Linked DNA regions of Arabidopsis thaliana. The protein of the gene in region 4 binds, or shares a complex with, the protein of the main gene of each other region. Each region holds a gene or a part of one and is shown on either strand. Other genes may lie near its edges.

Region 1 (5,948 bases), on a different chromosome or scaffold from region 4:
AAGCAAATTATGTGATCCTTTGAACCAAAAATGTGCATTGCGAAATCAAACAATTCGAGAATCAACTAGAAGCAATGAATCCAGAACTATGTTTTATTACCTAAACCATCAATCTTTTAACAAAAACGTAAATTCCGATTTCCGATCTACTGCTAAATCCCAACTCTTACGAGAGAACGGGAATAATTATGTTAGTCAATTTTATCACTTGACTCCGATCTAGTTTGAAATCGAGACAAACCTGAAAGATTCGAAAACACTGATTGGTGGTGTCAAAGCAAAATCGAAGAAGCTTGCTGCTTGTGAGGGATTCATTGAGAAAGAACAAGTCAAAATGGGGTTTTAAGCTTAATCACTGTGTCTTAATTAATTTCTTGATTTGTTTTCAATCTATTTGCACTTAATATATATATTTTTATGTTATGTACTTGATTAATATATAACTCCTATTTACTAGAGGTCTAGAGGAGCTTTTTCTCAAGTCAAAAAGAAAAATTAAGGAAACTTATCTTATTTTTCAGTCTTTAGTTATTAAGGAGAATCCATTTTTTTAACTAAAAATGTAATCAGTTGAATACACTAACAAATAAAATCTTTGTTTGCTCCTAAACAATTTTTTTAAGAAAGAAGAATAAGTTACAATCCGATAGATCGGTATCATCTAAACCGGAGTGTTTCCTATTTAATTACTTGTCTCTGCTGTTATTGTCCTTGTTGTCAACATTGTTCTTGTTTTTTATGTCATTCGGATGATCCACAATGTTATTGTTGTTGGTGTTTGAGTCACTGGGATGATCCACACTGTTGTTGTTGTTGTTAGTGACTGAGGTATTACGGCAATTCTCGAGGATGGTATTGCAGTTGTTGATGGTGGCTGAGTCGACAAGTCCATGGTTCCATAGTTTAATCAAAAACAATCTCCAACACCTGGAATTTTTTATTTTTCTTTCAGAAAAACGAAACAAAATTGATAGTGTAGTTATGTGTCTGTATATGTTTGGTGTACTTATATTACCAGAAGAGTGATGAGTAACAGTGCAACTCTTTCTCGTAAAATCTTGAAAATACTTCACATGCCCAAGAGATATGACCATCTGCTATAACCCTGCAAACATCAATCATAATTTGAGCTCAAAGTTCCATAAGCAGAATCATTTAGACAGGTATGGAATGTAAGACATAAGGTCTTTTTGTGTGTGTTCAAGTGTAAGAGAAGTAGTTACCTTTGTTTTCTTACAAACGAGTTCCAAAGATGCATGAATTGCTTTTCATCTTTATTCACATCCACAAAGTCATCAAGCATCTGCAGCTTTTTTAAGTTTCAAAAGCCATTAGCAAGTTACATCGTATACCATTTTCTGTTGCCTACTTAATGAACGCAGAAAGAAATCATGGAATACCTGGCGATCTTCAAAATCTGCAACATCGTCATCGACTTCATCCTCGCTATCCCGATCAGACATTACTTGCTCAAGCGCCATTGGCTTGTCACAAGAAACATGCAGTTTTTGGTTAGTGGCAATAAAACGGAGACAACATGGACATAATTTTTTTGCGTTGATACATACAGAATCAAAATACAAATTTAGATGAGAACAAACCAAGTATGCTTTGATAAGATATCATCATGAGCAATTTAAAGAAAATGCCTAAGAAGTAGGTGAAGGAACTTGGATCACCTGGACTCTGTGAGAATGATAGAATTGGCGTTTCTGAAGAAGTAGGTGGCTGGAAGAAATTTTCTCGGTTAATATGGCAGTACAGTAAACACTTATCCATAATAGGAAGAACATTTGTAACAACAGGTATGGTAATTATGATGACGGGGTGTCATGATGAACAAACCTTCTAGCCTCTGATCGCTCAGCAGATAACTTTCTTGTCTTAGTAGCAGGGACCACAGCTTCGGTTGTTAATATAACTTTAGCACCAGCGTCCAGAGAAGAGTGGGCTATGGCTGGTGGAATGTTGCTAGTCATCTCAAATTGTCCAGCAAGCTCTGTTGCCTCGGGATATCCTAAACCACGGTTTCCTGTAGCATGCCATTAATTTTGTACATCAGTTCTGGTAACATTACCCTCACAAGAAGAATGCGAGGAGAAGTACAAAAACTAAACAATCAGGACATTGTATCTTCTTCTGTAAAATGAAGTTCTAAGCCACAACGAATACCACAGAAGAAGATGTGATTTTACCATCATTCAGCAGGGCAATTCCATTTTCTGTGCCATTAGCTAAACTGGGTGAATCCAACGGTAAAAAGCATACTTTAAGTCTCCTGGTGTTATTTCTGCCACCTCTTTGTCTACGCTTACGAGGTTTCGAGCTGCAAAACATTGTGGTTGGATTTATAGAGAAGTACTGACAAGAAAAGCAAGGAGTTACTGCTATTAAGGTATTTAATCAAGGGGTTCTGAGAGTTACCAGAGAGAGAAGGGCTCAAATTTATCATCATCACTTCCTTCTTCCTAGTACAAATAAGGATGGAATATAAACCAAATTTTCACCAGCTATAGGATTTCCCAATTAACCAAGTTTAAAGTAACTGACCTCAAATATGAAGGAATTAAGTTTTACAGAAACATTAACTGTCTGGTATTCTTCCAAAAGCTACAATAGGAAAGACCCTTTTTTAACTATAACCTCATTACTAACGGCATAGGCAAAACAAGAAATTCCATAAAACCACATACCTTGAACTCAAATTCAAATAAATCATGAGATGAATTCAAATGAAATTGCAGCCCCTGCATAGACACAAGACAATGGATTGTAAGCTCGAACTGGAACATGTTTTCTCAGATAAGCACACACTCAGCAGTTTAAAAAGAGCAAGAAGACAAACAACAAACACAAAAATATGTAACCAAACAGTGAAAGTATATAGCATTAAACGGCAGTAGCATTTCACAGTGTTAGATATGAAAGGCCCCGGAAGAAACCTCAGTTGTAATAGTTGCCCACCTTGAAGCTACCACATAGCATAGAGCAAAATGGACAAGAACAATCCTCCCTAACTGCGTGACAATACAGAAAAAAATAGTAAATAACAAATCATCTAGAGAAACATAGACATTGACATCGAATTTTGTCGAAGAACAGAAAAAGACTAACCTTCAGTTCTTTGTAATGTATTATTACAATCCTTATAGTTGAAAACTACCATCCCAGTAGATCTTGACCTAAGCAAAACACAATTTTGTAAAATATAAGTGTATAGCATGAACAAAGAAGAAACCATTCATTATGTCCATATCTACTCAACAAAGATAAATAGTTCATCAGCTTCCATATTAGAAGTAAGATAAATAACATATCACTGTGGCAACTACATTCAAGAAGAAACGCATACTTTCTTTTGCGCTTTGCCCCAATTTTGTAGTTCAAGCATCTTGGCAGAAACGATGGCTGCAACAACAAACAACAAGTTCAAATAACATTAGGAGACAAAAGAAGCACACACTCGCCATGAGTCAGACCATAATCAGCTTAGCAAACTCAAACTATTAGTGGGTGATCTACACAGGAGATGAAAGATTACTAAGCTAAAATGATGAGAGAGGAAGGCCAAATCATACGTTGCCTAGAGAGCGAAGGTGAAAGATGTTATATAGTCGAACAGGTTTACAATATATCAAGAGATTCTCATCAGTTGAAATCACTTCCTCCGGTGAGGATTTCGCGCGACAATTCTGCCTACACATTCTTGTTCAAATACAATCAACAACGTCCAGAGCTGATTATGAAGTTAGTGCAAACTCTGAGGCCTCCCCTAAATTAGAATTTCCCTACGTCATATTGTTCAACTCCATGCAACAATTAGAACCGCCTCTTCTGCAATATGCTTATATAGAATGTCTTGTATTGAGGCCTGTGTAATAAAGAAAGCACAAGACTTTTTAAGCAACTCAGAGAGTTCATTCAAGACATAGACAAGTTTAGACGTATTGCAAAAATGAAAACTTTATCCAATGCCACTTAGCAGAATCATCATACTTATCAAATTAAAATAAAATTATGTGATCTTTTGAACCAAATGTGTATGAAGAAATCTTAAAAAAAATTCCATCGAGATCAACGATTCCAGAACTAGAATACGATTCCGGATCTACTGCAAAATTTCAAATCTTACAATATAATTGAAACAATTAGGGTTATCAATTGTTATTACTTGACTCCGATTTAATTTGAGATTGAGACAAACCTGAAAGCTGCGAAAACACCGATTGGCCGTGTAAGAGAGAGAGCAAGCAAAATTGAAGAAGCTTGATTGGGAGATATTCACTGAGAAAGAAAACAAGTAAAAATAAAACTTTGGGTTTCAAGTTTTTCTTCAAGTCTGGGCCTATGGCCCATATTTTAAACCGATAACCATTTAACACGTATTATTATTAGTCAATAAATAGTTGAACTTTTTTTTTAATTAATAAAATGAAAAGAAAATACAAGCAACTTGGACAGCTTAATGCCTTAATCCACTAATATTTCTAAAATTGTTTTTTTAACTCTACCATGGCAGTACAGTGAGTATTAGAGGATTTAAAACCATATTCACCATTGATCTATGCGTGGAGGATGAAGAAATTAAGAATCATTGATCTATACTTTTCACACTAAGAATAGAATCTTCATGACCTTCAATTTTGATTTCCATTTGTGTTTTACATAAATAGTCAGAGTTTAAAATAAATTACTGAATATGTATTTTGATTCCATTGTTTAACTCTAGTTGAGTTGGCTAGCTGAAACTCACAGGAACATATAATCCTAAGGTGGCATTAAGTTGAAACTAATCTTTTTTTCGACCAATAGAATGATTAATGGATAACCATCAGTGTTTTCTACTTGAGTTGTGTGATGTATATCACTGAAATATTAAACATACATTTCATGAAAACGAGAGATCCTTTTGTGTGTCTACAGAACCAAAAATTACAAATACGAATGGTTTGCGGCACAAAATCACCGGCGGTAAAAGAATTGTTTCCTTTCCCAAAACTGAATATGAGTTCCCATGGAGACAAGACAACATGTTGCTTTTGGAACTCAACTCCTTAACGCTGCTGACAAATTCCAAATCCATCACCGATTTAGTATTATATGAACAAATTGAAACCATAATTCAACACAAGATTCTAACGTTGCAGAGACATCTCGATCCTCATATCCATATGAGTCTTTGTAAAATCCCTAATTAAGTTTCACAGATCAATTATGGATTCATAGAGATTGAAACAATTTCTCGGCTTACCTGAGTAAGAGGAGAGCCAGAGGATTGCGACACAGAGAAGAAGAATGAGAGGAATCAAATGGATGACGTTTTCTGAAAATCTGAATCTTGATTTCTCTCTCTTCCCCGCTTGAGAATTCGGATCGTACCTAGGCAAAAGCAGCTCCACATCATCTTCCATTGCTGTAACACTCTGAGATCGAGGCGGAGACCTTGAAGTCGCCGGAAAATGATCCAAAACTCTAGAACCACTCGCTGATCTACGCATCTCTCTTCTTAACGGCAACTTGTCAAGTCAAAGGTCGAAACTTTACCACACAATAACGCATATAAATACAGTCAGGTTTGACCAATGAGAGAGTCAAAGCTCTTCTCTTTTCACCAGTAATCGCCACAAGAGCAAGACCCATCTTTGAAATGGTGAAACCTTGTGGTGTCTCTTACAATGATCTCTCGTTTCTCTATCTCCGAGATAAATTTGATTGCTTTATGACAATCACCACAGATTCTCAAGTTCTTGAACACTTGTATCTGTGAACCTTGAGGGAGTTTTATGCAACCAAATGCAACAGCTAACTTCTCGCTGTGCCATAACAATAGCTTCTCTTTTTGCTCTTCCTCTACATTGTGTAAAGCAAACTCTAGTTCCGGTTTGTATCCAGCTAGTTTCATCTTCTTCTCCAACTCCTTCAGTTTCTTGTGTATTGAGTCTAGTTCA
Region 2 (7,461 bases), on a different chromosome or scaffold from region 4:
TATTGACGCTTGTGTTGACGATTCACGAATATTCTGACAAGAAACGAAGACTAACCATGAGATCCATGTACTGATCAGCATCAAAGGAAGTGCTGTTGATGTTATCGAAAGAGGCGTTGATGGAGGAACCACTCGTCGAGATTGAAGGATCCGGTGCGTAGAAGCTCGACAATAGATCTCTCATTCTCTTCGCCTTTTCGTCCATCGGAGCTGCCTCCGTCGCCATTTTTCTAAACTCCTGCTTCTTCTCGACGACGAAAATATCTGTTACCGGAAGCAGAATTTTGGCGTCGGAGATTCGTAATGTGAATTGAAAAAGCAAGAAGAAACTGGATCCGACTAATCAACTGGGAAACGGATCCGTATCCGATTCGAACCGGAATACGGTTTAGCAGTCGGATTACTTTTTATGAGATTAGGCACTGGTTTAGTGTGATTGGTTCGTTCACTTATTTTAAATCAGTTTTATTCGTTGAAAAGTACATAGATTGGCTTTAGCTGTTCAAAAATCCATAAATTTGAAACTATTTTTCGAAATGATACATTTTTACTTATTGACCCCAATAATTCATAAATTGTTTTATCACCTATACAAAGTCCAAACTCGATGTCAAAATAAAATAAAATCTCAACTCTATAATAATTAATTAATAAAGACAAGCTTAAGTTATCAAACTTCAAATATCATCTCTCACAACTCTATAAGTTATTTTTATAAAAGTTACTTCTCTTAGCCAGTAATCATCAATGAGATTGGTGCTTTCTGGCTCTACGATGAGTAATGGCTGAATCATCTTTCTTGGAGCCTTCAGGTTTGCGAGCCCACACTGGTGCTTGGTCTGGTCCATATCTATAGTCATAGAAAAGCTCTTCGCTAGCTTCTATTCGTTCGTTTGCAAAAATCCCGACCCTGTGATCTCCTGCTACAAACATCACCTACACCACACAGAAAAAGACACCGTACTTATGCGGGAAGCGATGAGACCATGGTTACTACGACAATAGACTGAAAATCGCTCTTTTTTGTAAATAATTAACACCTTTCGAAAAGGGTTGAATAAATCTAGCAGATGATATACACATGTTACTTTACACATTACAATCATAAAGATTGTAGAAACAAGTGTGTTTTGATCATAACCTACAAAGCTAGATTTGATCATCTGTTTTCTATAGTGCTAATTGCGATTAGTTTCTACAAAATGTTATAATCCTAGTCCTCCTTCTAAATGGAACTTTTGAGTGGCTAGAGGTGAGAAAGAAGGTATAATTACTAACCGATCATGTGGTTTTTTCATACCAAAATGGATATGAGAGAGAAGCATTTAGTACCTTAGCGTAGCAATTGGGTTTAGCTGAGTGATTGGCAAATTTCAGCTTGTCACCTTTGCGTTGAGCATCGAGGACGTACTGCAAATATCAAAAGCTTACTGACATATGCGAAATTCAAGAGGAAACTATCAGAAAGAAGGGTGAGAGATTTGGTCACCTGATCATTCAAGTCAAAGAGGAAGGACGAATTTGCCCGGTCATATATTTTCCCACGCTTATCCGCCTCATGGTGTGAGATCAATTCACCGGTGTATTCTCCAAGGTATTCATTTTTGCTGACCGAGTTCTGATGATCAGATGAGGTTCAGATTACATACAAGAGGTATGAAACAGAAGTTAATGAGGAAGATATTCACATGCTTTACCTTTAGAAAAGCACCCCATCCAGCAACATCAGACTTTCCCAATAGGATCTGGTAAATATAGCACATGAGAAACTAGATTTATCAACAATGAATGCATTTTATTTTTAGTAAATACATGATTTGATGACAGTATTATACCCTCTGTTGTTGCCTCAGGAGAAGTCTCATGTTTCCGCATTGCCCTTCTCCGCGTCTTGGTGCTTCACCGAGAGAACCATCTCCACAACTGAGTGAATAAGCAAGGCATCTTAAGTTACTCATCAAATAGTAGATTTGATTGTATATGGCACATCAAGAGATCTAGATTTAAAATGACTACCTAACCCAGCAATTTCTGCAAACATCTGGATCACATTCTCTGCCAGCAGCAAAGCAGGGACACTGCCTACTTCTGCATTGACTCTTTGCACAATGACATCCTCGGAAACGATTTTTACAGCTTTTTGAGCACCTGAATTAAATCAATGGATGGTTATAAGAAGATCCTCTGTTACTTCAATTGACGTTAATTTGTTTGCATACCCGCAATATTTCTCGCAGCAAGTTTCATTAGTTAGACAAGGGCAATCCTTTCCGCACATTGACAGGCATCCACACGGCGTGTATTGTTTACAGGACTGGTTTTTGCCACCAGCTATTCTTTTCCAGACAGACGGATGACCAGCAGACTTTGTAGAGTATTTTAGCTTCCGGGTTTTGCCTTTTCTACGGAACAATCTTGTCCTTGGAGGCACCTCATCATTCTGTCAAGTAAAGTAAGAGAGCGGTAAACCAAAATATGATTCTGACAGACATGGCATGCTAATATCAATAAAATCTCAAATAAAATAATCACTTGTCTAAGCCAACTTATGGTCAACTATCGTTTTCTCTTGTCCAATGCAGGTATCAGGGAAAAATTAAGCAAGGAAATTGGCTTTTCCGGATCAGAACTTTTTTCTTCTGGAATAGATCTCTAACCCTATCAGTCTGACAAGCTAACTTTCAATACAACAATGCCCAAAGTCGCAGATACTGCAGAAAATTTGAAAAGACAAAAGACCCTAGGAAGATCAAGAGCTTACATCATTCCCTGGGTCAGTCCTGCCATCATCCAACAGCAAATTTGGGGTACTAGATCTTCGAAAAACTGAAACTTCGTTTTCACGCATGTAATTGGACACATCTAGGCATGTCTTCAAGCCAGAAAGCAGGTTTCTTGCAATAAGACAGCTGAGATAGCACGGACAAAACATACTAGATGTAAATACGTTATAGGTGTTCTGTGTTTAAAGATAATAATTTACCAAGATCCAGTTTACCTGTTTCTTCCAAAGATTTCGACTCCCTTCAAGTAAAGATCCTTCTCGATAGGATTCCACTCTGTAGATGGTCGACTTGTCTCAGACATTTCTGCAATGATTATTGCTCCGTTTCCACTACCATGGTGTGGCTGACAAATTGAGGAACCACCATCATGGACCGAATTGTCTGGAATAGGCTCACCTACTTCTTTTGCATCAGCTTCTGAGTCTCTGTTTACTTTATTGTCAGTTGTTCCACCTTGATCACCCTTTGTGCTATCCAATGCCTGATCTAAGCTAGGGACAGAATTAACAAATGACATTTTTGTATCTGAGGCTGCGGTCTTCTGTTTCTTGTTCGATAAATTAGGCAGATCATTGGAGTCTTTTAGAATTGGGACCTCACGCTTTCCTCTAATTCCATGCTCTTGTTCTACACCAGAGGATGAATCTACATTCTTGATACCAATATCAGTCTTCTCAACTTGCAGACTGACACCACTAGCAGCAGCATGGGGAACATCAGAGGAGACAGCCTTGCTGCATTCCTCTTCTGAAGCTTTCTCTTCTGCTTTAGATGCAAAATTACTGCATGTTTCTGGTACTTCTCTGACCGCCTTGAGCTAAAATCATTAACATAAGAATAATGGTGATTCAAACTCTGGAACCAAGAAAAATTACTGCATAAACAAGACTATGCACTAGTACAACTACAATGAAAGATCACTCCTCTAGCAAACGCATACATGCTAAACCTCAATCTAGGTCAGAGCATATATTCCATGATCTCACTAATGAATATAGTTTATTAACTACGAATATACAAATCACTCTGAGAATGTAAAGAGACAGAGAGAGAGATAGACCTGGAGGTAACAATGTTTGCTGCAGGGTTTCCTATCACCTTCATAATCAGACCAATAAGGCTGTTTTTCACTCTGTCAACCAAAGTTCTCTTGTTATGTTGTCCACTGAAACTTTAGCAATACAACTAAAGAAAGTAAAGACAAATTCAAGCTTACAGCACTAATCAAAGGCTGAGAACATCCATGCAGACGACAGTCAAATACCTGTTAGAAATAACCAAAGAAGGATTAACATGATTAACAAACACTTAATAATACATGCTCTCTCTGTCACAAAGAACAATCCAAGTACCAAGCAACGGCGGCAGAAAAGATTATCAAAAGAATCTAGAGCTGCACCAAGGCCCTTTTCCAGAGATATTCCCAGCTTGAATCCGGAATTAGAAAATTCCTCGGTATTCTGCTTATCCTTCAACTTGAGCTCATTGTATCTTTCCTGCAGCAGACAGGAAAGCCAAACATCATTAGTGAAGAAGAATAGGAAGACCAGAAAAACATCATTAGATAAACCACAAGAACAAGATGACTAAAAACTGCACCAGGATATCAGAAGCATCTACGCTTAGCAACTGGCAAAGGGCATCCTGCACTTCCTCACCCATGCCATACTCCTGCCCAATTAACCTGCCAATTCAAGTCAAACGAGGTATGAAGAAATTCATATATAGTGAGATATATTTCAAACCTAATGCTAATGAAGAGTCTTACAGAATGAAATTTGATATGAATACGAAATATGACATCTTTTTTTAGCATCAACAAATGTGATTCATTGGTTAATAAATTCCACCCAGGTACTTCTTCAAATACCAGTATCACAATTTTTCCCCATCAGAGTACATGAGAGTCCATAATTTACACTCTCTGCAAAACTAACCATATAATGGAATCTTCACCCTCGGAAAATTCACGTTTTTCCTCCTCAGGTTCTGGTTCTTCCTCACTATCGCTGCATATTAGCGTCTCACCACCATGTTGTTCATAGTAGATTTGTCTTCGACCAACCACAGACTGATCTTCAGCCATTCTTTGATTTCTGCATGGTTAAGATATTTTTTCAGAAAAGAAAAACAACACATAATATGAAAACTGAATTTGATGTTCTAGTCTATTGTTCAACTGAATTTAGAATAGCATGCTACCAACGCAAAAATGAGAACTAGAAAAGGTGCATGCCTGTCCAAAAATATCCAGGTAGTGTATGGCGGTATTCTCTCAGCAATAGGAAGCTTGACACTTGCTGATATAACATCCTTAGTAGGAACATAGTCTCTATCTCCCACACCATGAGAAAAACCATTTAACTTGCAGAGTGGCATTCTCATTCTCGAAGAAAGCATATTGCTATTTCCATTATCCTCTGCGGTAGCTCGGCTCGATGCAGCAGATGAAAAGGGAGAAACATGAGCATCCACTTTCTTTCTATTAGCCTCAAATTTCTCCTACATTCCCAGGAAAACAATCAAAAACGGATAAATGATTTCAAATTTTTTAGACATTAGTATAATTAGTAAAGAACATCAAGTATAGAAACTCTCTTACTTTAATAGACCTAACTCTTTCTCCTTGAATTTTCCTTTTAAGCTCACTTAATCTGTTTTCCAAACCCTCGAGTCTATCTTCTTCTTCTTCACCATCATCATCATCATCTACATGAGACTTCTATTCAGAAGCCCAAATCAAAACAAAAATCGTGTAAAAAACAAAAGCAACGAGGAAAAACACTAATTCTATAAGGTCCATCAACTCCAACAGTGAACAAAAGTAAGAGAGCGATTATAATTTGATGAACTCAAACGGATTTCACGAACAATCAGCTGAAAAAACGCGAATGATCATGCGCATACGAGCAAAATCAGATAATAAATCAAAAAAAAAAAAAAAAGAGGAGATTGAAAGGTAAATCTGAGTACGATTCGTCCAGAGGAGTTGCTATCGTCCGTCACCATTGATGACTCCTCGAGCTTTCCGCTTCTCTTCCGCTCGAACTTTCTCTCTCTCTCTGCTTTTTCCGCAATCAGACTTGTGAGAAGGACGAACGGAGTGTGGACTGGAAGGGGGGTTACATTACATACAAAGAACGCCACACGTGTGAATGAATAGTGCTTATACGTGTGTAATTTAATTAGTGGTTTTGCGACAATTATTTTCTATTTGTGATTATAATTGTATGTTATCTTAAAGATAACTATTACGACATGCCTGGCTCTGGAGCCGTTGAGGCTAATAATGGCTAATATTATTAACGTCAAAGTCTCTAGAGCCACACAGGTTATAGCAGTTACGTTTGAGATAAGTATTAGTTGTAAAGTAATAAACTCTGAACGTAAAAATATTAAGATATTTGTGATTATAATTGTATTTTATCTTAAAGGTAACTACTATGATTTGTGTGGCTTTAGAAACTTTGACGTTAACAATACTAGCCATTGAGGCTAAGAATATTAGCTGTAAAGTAAAAATCTCTGAGCGTAAAGATTTAAACTGTAAAGATTTTTTTTTTTTAACATATGTATGCTTCTTATAAACTTGTAAAGGGAGATACAAATATCTTTCTAACCATAATGGTGGTACAGAGAATTAATTAACTGAGCCTTTTTAGATAAGATGTCCGCAGCTGCATTTCTTTCCCAATTAACATGTGCTAAGGAAGAGAACGGAAGCTTCACCATCCAATAACGAATATCATAAAGAAGAGTGATGATCTTATTATGATCACTCTGCGTATTGATCAGATTTACTAGCTCTGCATTATCGCTCTCAAACCACACATAAGTACATAATGTAGTCCTCGGGACCAAGTCACTTGAAGGGCATGAAGAAATCCGAGAGCCTCTGCTTGAAGAGATAATTGTGACGATTGAAGTTGAGCACGCCCTGAACTAAGGAAACATCCATTGCAATCTCTGTAAATCCATCCTGAATGTATGACAGTCCTTTCCTGAACATAACCACTATCAAAAATAATAATAATAAAAACTGTGATTTTAACTAATAAGAAAGGAATTACTTTAAATATTGGTTTGATACCATAAAAATTATATTTAAAATATTAGTTTTTCAACAGATTATATTTTATTTAGATTATTCCATAAAAAAAAAGTATTATACTGTTACTTTTAGCTGTAAAAACTTTTACTGTAAAAAGCCTTTAAAAATTAACAGTACAAACTAATCACCTGTACATAGTTTTTTTATATTGGAAAAAGTATATTCAAATTCTATTTGTATATCTGATGGTTGTGGCAAATATTAATTAATTAACGCAAAAATATATACAAAATTCTATCCTCCAATAAAGGAGAATCCAAAATCCAAAGAGCTGTAATAATGTCCCAAACTCAAAAGCTTCTCTGGTGGAAATTTTCTCACCGTAAGTGGGAGAAAAACAAATAAAAAGAAGAAAACCCTGGCTTCTATCATCGGCCTTCGTGAAGATCTTCTGAGAAAACAGTTGTTCGTGTAATATTTTCATGATCAAAAGCGCTTAGACCAGAATAAGGACCAGAAGAGAACATAGAAGAGGTTACTTCTGACTCGAACGTAGCTGATGATTGTCTCCGGTTAGGACGAGCTTTATTTGAAGTGTTTAAAACCGGGTCTTGATACTCAACC
Region 3 (5,885 bases), 1.6 Mb from region 4:
TCCTGGCTTTCGAAGAGATGAAAGAGAAAGATGTGAGATCATGGACCTCTTTGATTGCAGGATATGGAAGACATGGGAATTTTGAGAAAGCAATTGATCTTTATAACAGAATGGAGCATGAAAGGATCAAACCGAATGACGTTACATTTCTTTCTCTCCTCTCTGCTTGTAGTCATACAGGACAAACCGAACTAGGCTGGAAGATTTACGACACAATGATCAACAAGCACGGAATCGAAGCTCGAGAAGAGCACTTATCTTGCATCATAGATATGCTTGCGCGCAGTGGCTACTTGGAAGAAGCTTATGCACTGATAAGAAGTAAAGAGGGTATTGTAAGTCTTAGCTCATCAACATGGGGAGCTTTTCTTGATGCATGCAGGCGCCATGGGAATGTGCAGCTCAGTAAAGTAGCAGCCACGCAGCTTCTGAGTATGGAACCGAGGAAACCAGTCAATTACATCAATTTGGCCAGTGTGTATGCAGCTAATGGAGCATGGGACAATGCTTTGAATACTAGAAAGCTTATGAAAGAGAGTGGTTCCTGCAATAAAGCTCCAGGATACAGCCTTGTGTATTGAACTAAGAGAATAAGACAAAATCTCCAGAAAGGGTATACACTGTGGTACAAGGGTGGACGTTAACAAGGCTACAAAGAGCATCTCAAGGTCTCAGGGAGTAGCAACATGATCAGAATTACAATAAAAGAATGGATATCTCATTTCTTCGCACTCCTAATTCATCAATTCCTACAAGACTCAGACCGCTACTTGGTAATCACGTCCCAGCGCCATATAGTCCCGTCCTCGCAGCAAGCAAGAATCGTGCTACAATCCCATGGAAGAAACAGTGTGTCAGAATCCAAAGTTTGGTTTGATTTACAGTAACTATTGAGTCATAAATAACATTAAGAAATTTTCACTGCATTGGTGAGAGAGAAGATGGATTTATACCTTCCATCGACAGACATGGCTGTTTGCCTGATTACAGACTTTGATTGATTGTGTGATAACCTATATGGCAACAGAAAATCATGTCAAGACTAAAACATTTCTTAAAGATCAAACATTGTATCTGAATCCGAAACTAACTTACTTTGTAATCAAAACAGGAGGGCAACTTTTCAAATCCCAGACATAAACCTTTCCTTCCTGATTACCTGATAACAAACCAGCGAGTAATTTGTCACAAAATGAATAAGAAAAGTTGAAGTAATCTATCTATAGAATGCAAATTTGTATCTAACGAGCTCTCTGATTACCTATCGCAACAGAACTTAAATGGAGGTCACAAGAAAACTTGATAAACCAAATATCACACATTGGAACCGGGTATCTTAATAGAACATCTGAAGCTCCCTGCAAACCACAAAAAGTTCAACTGTAAATATATGTGATGAAATGAATGATTATGTTGTGTTTGGAGCAACAATGAGATCCTAACCTCGCCAGGAGAATTCTCTTTCAGTTGTGGTTCCCACAACAGGATCTCGTTGTCCACACTCTAAAATCCGATAGAACAACACAAGAGTAAAGTGTTTTAACAGTACACCAAATGAATTAATCTTAACCATCATTGACTTACTAACCTTTGAGAGGATAAAATCACCAAACCAACGGTTACAATCTACATAATTTGTATGAATGGAAGCTGTAAATACCTACATATAGAAGTAATGTTATTTACAAAGGCCATCACCAATATTTGTATGTCACTTGTTGTTACAAGACAAGGCTAAAACAAAATACTTACAGGGAATTGGACAAATTTTGTGGGGAATTTTGATGGATCATCAGTCCATGTGAATGACTTCTCGACGTACGTCCAAAACTCTATAGACAGCCAAAGAATAAGAAGATCATACAAACGAACCACAAGCCATTTTTCTCAAAAGGTTTTTTAAAATGGAAGTTTATTACAATATGTGCTCGATCGTACCTTTCATTGACCATATTTTAATAGTGGTGTCCATACCACAACTAGCAAAGCGGTAAATATCAGACGGATGAAAATCCTACAATTTTCAAAATAAGATGGTTCCCCTTAACATTGTCTCTATATATTATTGTAGAAAACTAACTGAATTAGATAAAACAATATTGGCTCACCACACTTAGAACTTCATAGCGATGACCTCCAGCTCCAGCAAATATCAAAATACATATCCCAGTTTCAACATTCCACAAACGAACAGATTCATCCTTATTCAATTAAAACGTAACAGCTCTTAATCACCAACAAATAAAAAAGAAGTCAGGATACTTTAGGAAGAAAAGAAAGCCAAGAGATATACCTTGCTAGCAGTAATCACAAGTTGAGGTTTTAAAGGTTGTGTCCTGATTTCGTTCACTGAATCTCCATGACCCACAAGACTCTGCACATTTGCGAGCACAGATTATACAAGAAAGATATAGAATCATTTGCTAGGATACATAGAACATCCATAAAAATGCAATAATACCTTATGAATCGTTTCACTGTTGACGTCAATGACTCGGATTATACCTTTTACTCCTCCAGCCGCAACATATGGGTTCCCATTAACGCCACACGCCCAACTTACCGTGTAAAACGACTCTTCCTTCTGCTCTCCAGAGGACATAGACAAAATATAACCAAATGGCCTCAGTGAAACATCACTTACTTTAATTTGATGGAAAAGCTAATATGTATGCTTCCTTACATCTTCATCAGCATAGGATTGCAATGCTGATATGGCACCATCTCCGAGACAATTGTACAGAGTAATCTACATAATAAGAGATACACCAATGGCAGTAATGAGATTCATGAACTAGCTAAGTAAAGGTTAAATGAAAGAACCCCTTGGTTAAAGCTTCTATGAGAAACTCAAATATTTCTAACTAGTAAATCATTCAATTTAAAATCCAACGGAAACTAGGAAAGATGAAAAAAACTACAACTAGTTAAGATAAGTATATTGAGACTGAGCAACCAAACAACCTTAGTGCGGAAACTGTTAGGCACACAACATTATAAAGAGAATGAGACCTAACCAAGTGTGTAAGATTACAAGTTAACTCTACTCATTGCCGATTGGACCCCAAGGACTTTCACATGGTATCAAAGCCCACTAATCCCAAATGCTCGACCGAAGACGATTACAAATTAACTCCACTCATTACCGATTGGTTTTTCATGGAACCCGAGAACTTTACGCGGTATCAGAGCCTACTAAGCCCAAACGGGTATCCGATCGATGTTTCGACGAATACAAATGAGCCTAAAGAGCCACTATCAGGTACATTCGGAACCCACATTGAAAACAAAATAGAGCAGTCTAATGTATAAGGTAATGACTTCACTCTATCTAGTTTCAAAATTAGAAAAAAAAATAACTTCCACAAAATCTCCAATACAGGAAAGCTTAAACTAAACGCTTCATAACTCACTTGATGACCGTTTCAAAAGGAACCTCCTTAGATAAGCAGACTAACAACATCAACCAAAGTTTCAATTTTTTTTAGAACAGAATGCAAATCAAGTGTATAAGGTAATGAGTTCACTTTAAATTAGAAAACAAAAACCATATCTTCCACAAAATCTCCAAAACCAGAAAGTTTGAACTAAATGTTACATAATCTTAGACTATAGCATCAAGCAAAGTTTCAATCTTTTAATCTCACTAAAGGCTAGAAATCAGAATCCAAAATCAAACACAAAAGGAAAGGCCTTAATGTTACAATCAATCTGAATCAAAACCTAAACAGACCCAGAATTGAAAACAGTGATTTCGAATTGAAAGTCGAGATCTTTTACCCGATTTCCACCAGCGGTAACGAAGACATCGAAGAAACGAGCATCAAGGAAGTTGAAAACAACAGCATACAAAGGTTTCTTCCCTTCCTGAATCCTATTCGTCACTTTGTACGATTTCTTATTCGATGGAGTCAAAGACCCAACTATTGACTCGTTCCCTAAGGTTATCTTCGACATTCGATATTCGAAATCTCTCTCTCTGTCTGACTCTCGCACACTAATCTAAGCTCACAAGTCTCTCATGCAACAACAACTGGTGTTTTGTAATTTTCGATTAGACACAGATTCACAGGTTATTAAAATTACTGTAACCGTAGATTTTGACCTCACGACAAACTTTTATTTTGGACCTGACACAACACACAACTCACCTTTTAGAAAAAAATGGTAAGAAAAATCAAATTTAACGTTTTTTAATAGGACTTAGAATTAAACGTTACGATGAAAAATAAATATATTCTTTGATTGATACGATCGAAGTTTACCTATTTGTCTTTCTTTTTTTTCAAAGGAATATTATAGATTTGATTGAAATTTTCTGAAAGTAGTAATTATTTAATATGTAATCTTATATTATTGACCATTCATTACTATTAGTTTTACTAAAAATGGTTAAATGATATAAGGTTTGGATTTAAATGGTATCACGTTTTTATGTTTTGAAAACATTATTTTGTCAATTACATACATTTCTCAATTTTATGTAATTCTTTTCTTCCACCCAAATTTTACATATTTTTTTACCTTTTTCTCAAATTTGATACTCAATAGCTACAATTCCAACAGTACCACATATTTTTTCCATCAAGTTTACTGTATGCAAATATGGATCATTTCTTCTGGACTACACCTCCGAGAGTTTATATATCATAGTATCCATGGGTAATACGATACTTATGGAAAGTTTTATAAGATTTACTTGTAATATTGCATTAAGCCAAAATGGAGGAACGAACTTGGCTCTATAATCGACCATAGAAGTGCTCTGTTTTATTTAAAGCTTACTTTCATCTCTTACCTTAAGTTTTTATTTTATTTTCTTGCACTTTAACTAAAATAGATTTTAGATACACCAAAACAAAATCAAGATCACCGATATAAGAATTAAAAAACATAGATGCAACAACTAATAGACAAACCATAACCAATTTGAAAATAGAAAGTGTGCTAAGTAGGTTTGATGTCCGCCTATTTGAAGTTGTAAATAAATTGATTTAACATTTTATCCTCTCACTGTTGTTATTTACCATGATATCTCTTCGTTGAGAGCATTTTACTTATTTAAAATGTATTTAATGGATTTTTAAAGGGTTTATTTGAATACTTTGGAATACTTTTCCAAATAAGTCACATTATCAAAAAAGAAAATTAGAAGTTCACTATTTGGATATAACGATTTGAACATCTCCAAACAAGATAATCAAGGTCCAAACTTTGAGAAACTCATCGATAACGACAAAATTTGCGATAACGACAAAATTTACGATAGAGTCCAATCAATGTTTATAGGAAAGGAAGACAAAAAAATACATGGTTATAGTTTATTTTAATATATGTTGAATGTAATATATGAAATTATAGTGCTTTAATTATAATTTGAAATAATCAGTTTACAACGGTACAAATTATATAATTTAAACAAAAAAATAGTTTAAAGCAATTATGGATAATTTTCGAGTGGTATTGTAGAATATCACGTGTGGAAAACACATTTGTTCAAAAAAATTTAGAGATCTATAGAACCTCTAGTTTTAAACCCTAGGAGTAAACAAGTATTGAAAGCTTTTGTGGTTGTTGTGTACTTGCTCGCTTCCTCGTACAACTCTTATAGGAAAATAGCATTTCTCCTAGCACTAAGTTCTGGAAGCGAATGCTCCCAAAATCTCACAACTAATTCACAATTGCTCCTATAGGATCGAATAATACGTGAAAACTGAACTGGTATCCGAGTAAAAACCAAACTAAACACATTACTCTTCTAATTGTACCCGATAATTTTTTATTCTTTCCATTCTAATTTTTTTATTCGATTAAATTGAAATTTTCCGGATATTTTGGATATTTTTCAATAGTTTGAGAATCTAAGTAAAAATATTTGAATTGAA
Region 4 (4,919 bases):
TGCATCTATTTTCTCTGAATCTCTAATCTATATCCCTTTTTTGTTTTGTTCAATTCCACTCTATTTTGTAACATTTTGAATCTATCTCGTTTGTCATATATACAAATTAGTGGGGATGCTTTTCTTTTCTCCATACATTCAAAACGATAATAATCATATGACGAACACTTCACTGAAATGATGACTATTGTTAACTAATTCATTGAGACCAAATTCTAAATTAGCTAGATTAGTTATATTCATTTTAGATCACTTTAATTAATCCATATCAAGGTTTATGATGAGTTTTCAACTCAAACCCAATCAATAATAAACGGATAAAATCCTTTTGATATATTTAAATTCATATTTTATTTTGATGTGAGAATTCTTATCAAATTTTATGTGTTTTTATTCCACAAATACTTTTATATCCCTATATTTCATTAAATGATACGTTTATACTAACACCAAGTGGTTGTCGTTACCAAGTTTAATATGAAATTTATAATCAGTCCTCACTAAATAGTAAATACATGCACATGCTTAAGTTTTATAATTAGTTCTGATAGTCCTCAAAGTCTAATAATAAGTTTATAAGTTTGACCACGAATCTGAATTTTAAATTAACTCGTTATACATCTTAACTTAGAATATTGATTTGGTTAAAAACTTGTTTATAATATTGGATTCTGAAGTATTTTACAAAATCAGTCAGTACATAGTTACTTGGTCGTGCAGAGTGTGGACCATAGGAGCCCCCTCTATGTTATAGCCTGATACGTTGCCTCGTTTACCTAATCTAGCTATGAAATGGATCAGCTCATTTTATGGATTCCATATTATTGCACGTAATATTCACTCTTTTATCAAGAACATATATCTTTTAGTACAACTTTGTTAATTCACTTATTTGCATCTTCTAAATCCGTCTCACATTCAGTATAAACCATAATGATTTTTCATAAAGTTTATGTGTGTTAGTGTCCATACTTAAAATCAATACATGACTAACATAATCAAACTAATTTTTTTACTGTGAATTTTTTTTTATGGGATCTATATTTTTTGTAGAATACGAAAAGACTAATTTACATTGCATATTAAAAAATCTGTTTTTCTGTATCGAAAAGGCTTCCAAAAGTTTTCACTAATATACCAGCAGTATCAATCTCTCCATAGTAGAAGAACAAGTAGAAGACCAAGTCGCTGGTTTTCTTAAGATATCTTCTCTGTTGTTCCCCCCTTCTTCGTTCCTATCGCCACCTTCGACATTCACTATTTTTCTTTTTCTTTTTTTTTTTGTTTGAGAAAAAATGAAAATTTGTTTTAAGAGACCATGATAAAATAATAAAAGACAACTAAATAAAAAATACTAATTATATAAAAATAATATCCTCATATAATAATTATGTTATGTGGCTCAATTGGCCAAACTGGAACCTAACCGTAATTATTAAACTGAAAAAATGATATAGGAATGTGTTTAGTTTAATTTATATAATATACGAATTTGCTTAGTTTTATACTTTTATATATGTATAAAATTTACATGTGTGTAAATATTTACTAGTTATGGACACTCCGATATTCGGATACAAGGATTCGGATTGAGAAATTTAGAACCACTCCGATATTCCAAAAATTCGGTTTTGATTTTAAAACCATGAATTGTGTTCTTCCCTTTTTTTGTCCCTAAAATCTCGAAACTAAGAAAATGGAGGCCCTTTAAAGAAATAGGCCCAATATGATACATGTTATAAAAAAACAAAAAAACAAATGACACGTGTACCCTAGAATCTCTAACTTTCATCTCCTTCCTCTCTCTTTCCCCCAAATTTCAGCCGCCGCGGCAATGTTTTCTCAGGCGACGCCTAAATCTACAGCCACCTGAAAACTCCTCCGTAATCTCAATCACCGAACCATGTTTCTCAATTTCGACATTGAATCAAAAAAGACGAAACAATCCTTGTTTCTCGACGAAGACATCTGTGAAGAAGAAGAGCTACAAAGACTTTAATTTTTTCTTTCTGAGCAAGTATGGATTCATCATCGACGAAATCGAAGATCTCACATTCACGCAAGACGAACAAAAAGTCAAACAAGAAGCACGAATCAAATGGGAAACAACAACAACAACAAGACGTCGATGGTGGTGGTGGGTGTTTGAGATCATCATGGATCTGCAAGAATGCATCGTGTAGAGCTAATGTGCCTAAAGAAGATTCCTTTTGCAAGAGATGTTCTTGTTGTGTTTGTCATAATTTCGATGAAAACAAGGATCCTAGTCTTTGGTTAGTTTGTGAGCCTGAGAAATCTGATGATGTTGAGTTCTGTGGCTTATCGTGTCACATTGAGTGTGCTTTTCGAGAAGTCAAAGTTGGTGTTATTGCTCTTGGGAATCTGATGAAGCTTGATGGTTGTTTTTGTTGCTACTCATGTGGCAAAGTTTCTCAAATTCTTGGGTAAAATTTCTTCCTTTACTCTTTGTTTGATTGCTGTAATTGGCTTTGTATAACTCAATGTGCGTGTGTGTTTATGAAGATGTTGGAAAAAGCAGCTTGTGGCAGCAAAGGAAGCACGACGACGTGATGGACTGTGTTATAGAATAGATTTGGGTTATAGACTGTTGAATGGGACTAGTCGGTTTAGTGAATTGCATGAGATTGTTAGAGCTGCTAAGTCTATGCTGGAGGATGAAGTTGGACCTCTTGATGGACCTACTGCTAGAACTGATAGAGGCATTGTTAGTAGGCTTCCTGTTGCAGCTAATGTGCAAGAGCTTTGCACTTCTGCAATTAAAAAGGCAGGGGAGTTGTCAGCCAATGCAGGTAGAGGTTAGTATTGGAGATATGTTTATTGCAATGAATCTGAAAGAGAGAGTAATGAAATAAGTTCATATATGTTTTTGCAGATTTAGTTCCAGCTGCGTGCAGGTTTCATTTCGAAGATATTGCACCAAAGCAAGTGACTCTTCGTCTGATTGAGCTACCTAGTGCTGTAGAATATGATGTTAAGGGTTACAAGTTATGGTATTTCAAGAAAGGAGAGATGCCTGAGGATGATTTATTTGTTGATTGCAGTAGAACTGAGAGGAGGATGGTGATATCTGACCTTGAGCCTTGCACGGAGTACACATTCCGTGTTGTCTCTTACACAGAAGCTGGTATATTTGGCCATTCGAACGCTATGTGCTTTACGAAGAGCGTTGAGATATTGAAACCAGTGGATGGTAAGGAAAAGAGAACAATTGATTTAGTAGGTAACGCTCAGCCCTCAGATAGAGAGGAGAAAAGTAGCATTTCCTCAAGATTTCAAATTGGGCAACTTGGGAAGTATGTGCAGTTGGCTGAAGCTCAGGAGGAAGGCTTGCTTGAAGCGTTTTACAATGTAGATACTGAGAAAATTTGTGAGCCGCCAGAGGAAGAATTGCCACCTCGAAGGCCACATGGGTTTGATCTAAATGTAGTTTCAGTGCCAGACTTGAATGAGGAGTTCACTCCACCTGATTCTTCTGGAGGTGAAGACAATGGAGTGCCGCTAAATTCGCTTGCTGAGGCTGATGGTGGTGATCATGATGATAACTGTGATGATGCTGTGTCTAACGGTAGACGGAAGAACAACAACGACTGCTTGGTTATATCAGATGGAAGTGGTGATGATACCGGATTTGATTTCCTCATGACCAGGAAGAGGAAAGCAATTTCAGACAGTAATGACTCAGAGAACCACGAGTGTGACAGTTCGTCGATTGATGACACTCTTGAGAAATGTGTGAAGGTGATCAGGTGGCTGGAGCGTGAAGGCCACATTAAAACAACATTCAGGGTCAGGTTCTTGACATGGTTCAGCATGAGCTCAACCGCTCAGGAGCAATCTGTTGTGAGCACATTTGTGCAGACTTTAGAGGATGATCCAGGTAGCCTTGCTGGCCAACTTGTCGACGCATTTACTGATGTTGTCTCCACCAAAAGGCCAAACAATGGAGTAATGACCTCACATTGATCAAGCTTCCCATTGATTCAACCACATTCTTTCTTAGTATGAATAATATGATTAGAACTAAATAGTCCATGATTTCTCTAACGTGGATTCGGCTATTTATCATCAATTTGGACCACAGGATTGACCACATTGCAAATCTCTTTGGATTGGGGTTTAGATTTAGGATTTGACATAATAATATTTTAAAAAATCTCCTTAGGGAGAGTATTTTGCCTCTGTTCCTTGTTTCTGTTCATATCTAAAGAGGTCCTGCGAACCATTCGCTCTGTTGTGTACTAACTCGTGTAAAGTGTCAATTTCATCAACTTCTAAAACAATATCTTGGTTATATTGATTGATCGTTTCAGATTTTCAAATGATTACATCTGTTATTGTTTTTATGCAAAAAATGTTATTTTCAACAAACCAAAATAGAAAGTTCAGGATTTTTTTGTTTGAGTAACCATTATTTGAGGGTGTTTTCATTGATTATTTAGTTGGGGATGTTGTTGTTAAGATTCCTTACTTGAGGGGTAGTTTGTTTCATTAATAACTAGATGAATACCCGCACTACGTGCGGGTTTATGTATTACTATTTACAAATTGTTTTATATAATGTCTGTTCATATAAAGTAAAGTTGAATGCATCGATTTTGAAACATAAATATGATTTGTAATTGTTTTCAAAAAGTCCAACTATATTAGTTCATCTGAAAACGAAAGTGCTTGAGTTGTTTTTTATTGTTGTTTTAGATTCTCAGTTTTTTTTTTAATTTATATATCTTTGTTCTTTTGGTTATATATTTAGTTTGTGAGACGGTGAAATTTTAGAAAATTTGTTTTTTACATTAAAAATATAACATGTCTTTATTAATCATGTCTCTGCATATCCAATCTAATCATATTCAACTTGATGTTATTGTAAAGTTTGGTTAAGTTCTTGTCATAATCTTATA

What was found.
Region 1: VRN5 (region 4) and VRN2 share a complex: the UniProt entries of both Arabidopsis thaliana proteins name them as parts of the plant homeodomain / polycomb repressive complex.
Region 2: VRN5 (region 4) and SWN share a complex: the UniProt entries of both Arabidopsis thaliana proteins name them as parts of the plant homeodomain / polycomb repressive complex.
Region 3: VRN5 (region 4) and FIE share a complex: the UniProt entries of both Arabidopsis thaliana proteins name them as parts of the plant homeodomain / polycomb repressive complex.

Annotation. Positions count from the first base shown.
Region 1 is NC_003075.7:9,474,464-9,480,411, reverse strand, and holds VRN2 (VEFS-Box of polycomb protein), read right to left. Parts: upstream 4,344-5,948; 5' UTR 4,205-4,343; intron 3,872-4,204; 5' UTR 3,705-3,871; coding exon 3,579-3,704; exon of another isoform or gene 3,409-3,578; coding exon 3,353-3,408; intron 3,183-3,352; coding exon 3,115-3,182; intron 3,018-3,114; coding exon 2,965-3,017; coding exon of another isoform or gene 2,943-2,964; intron 2,748-2,942; coding exon 2,694-2,747; intron 2,611-2,693; coding exon 2,551-2,610; intron 2,469-2,550; coding exon 2,425-2,468; intron 2,327-2,424; coding exon 2,196-2,326; intron 2,033-2,195; coding exon 1,846-2,032; intron 1,729-1,845; coding exon 1,680-1,728; intron 1,485-1,679; coding exon 1,401-1,484; intron 1,304-1,400; coding exon 1,224-1,303; intron 1,106-1,223; coding exon 1,016-1,105; intron 928-1,015; coding exon 687-927; 3' UTR 534-686; downstream 1-533. Other genes in the region: AT4G16840 (uncharacterized protein), read right to left, coding at 5,047-5,063, 5,252-5,498; AT4G16835 (Tetratricopeptide repeat (TPR)-like superfamily protein), read right to left, coding at 5,609-5,948. UniProt on the Arabidopsis thaliana protein: Polycomb group (PcG) protein. Plays a central role in vernalization by maintaining repressed the homeotic gene FLC, a floral repressor, after a cold treatment.
Region 2 is NC_003075.7:885,027-892,487, reverse strand, and holds SWN (SET domain-containing protein), read right to left. Parts: upstream 5,909-7,461; 5' UTR 5,796-5,908; coding exon 5,760-5,795; intron 5,509-5,759; coding exon 5,389-5,508; intron 5,289-5,388; coding exon 5,023-5,288; intron 4,883-5,022; coding exon 4,724-4,882; intron 4,471-4,723; coding exon 4,386-4,470; intron 4,283-4,385; coding exon 4,139-4,282; intron 4,051-4,138; coding exon 4,003-4,050; intron 3,919-4,002; coding exon 3,847-3,918; intron 3,604-3,846; coding exon 2,999-3,603; intron 2,910-2,998; coding exon 2,762-2,909; intron 2,441-2,761; coding exon 2,220-2,440; intron 2,149-2,219; coding exon 2,017-2,148; intron 1,924-2,016; coding exon 1,836-1,923; intron 1,746-1,835; coding exon 1,698-1,745; intron 1,619-1,697; coding exon 1,490-1,618; coding exon of another isoform or gene 1,411-1,489; coding exon 1,333-1,410; coding exon of another isoform or gene 1,282-1,332; exon of another isoform or gene 937-1,281; coding exon 745-936; 3' UTR 501-744; downstream 1-500. Other genes in the region: AT4G02030 (Vps51/Vps67 family (components of vesicular transport) protein), read right to left, coding at 56-226; AT4G02010 (Protein kinase superfamily protein), read right to left, coding at 7,266-7,461. UniProt on the Arabidopsis thaliana protein: Polycomb group (PcG) protein. Catalytic subunit of some PcG multiprotein complex, which methylates 'Lys-27' of histone H3, leading to transcriptional repression of the affected target genes, mainly abscisic acid (ABA) responsive elements.
Region 3 is NC_003074.8:7,248,298-7,254,182, forward strand, and holds FIE (Transducin/WD40 repeat-like superfamily protein), read right to left. Parts: upstream 4,156-5,885; 5' UTR 3,958-4,155; coding exon 3,781-3,957; intron 2,938-3,780; exon of another isoform or gene 2,750-2,937; coding exon 2,684-2,749; intron 2,585-2,683; coding exon 2,462-2,584; intron 2,375-2,461; coding exon 2,294-2,374; intron 2,202-2,293; coding exon 2,109-2,201; intron 2,015-2,108; coding exon 1,939-2,014; intron 1,833-1,938; coding exon 1,753-1,832; intron 1,661-1,752; coding exon 1,589-1,660; intron 1,504-1,588; coding exon 1,444-1,503; intron 1,359-1,443; coding exon 1,262-1,358; intron 1,160-1,261; coding exon 1,096-1,159; intron 1,014-1,095; coding exon 954-1,013; intron 828-953; coding exon 767-827; 3' UTR 582-766; downstream 1-581. Other genes in the region: AT3G20730 (PPR superfamily protein), read left to right, coding at 1-581. UniProt on the Arabidopsis thaliana protein: Polycomb group (PcG) protein. PcG proteins act by forming multiprotein complexes, which are required to maintain the transcriptionally repressive state of homeotic genes throughout development.
Region 4 is NC_003074.8:8,875,272-8,880,190, reverse strand, and holds VRN5 (Fibronectin type III domain-containing protein), read left to right. Parts: upstream 1-1,709; 5' UTR 1,710-2,019; coding exon 2,020-2,444; intron 2,445-2,523; coding exon 2,524-2,816; intron 2,817-2,893; coding exon 2,894-3,984; 3' UTR 3,985-4,407; downstream 4,408-4,919. UniProt on the Arabidopsis thaliana protein: Involved in both the vernalization and photoperiod pathways by regulating expression of the related floral repressors FLOWERING LOCUS C (FLC) and FLOWERING LOCUS M (FLM).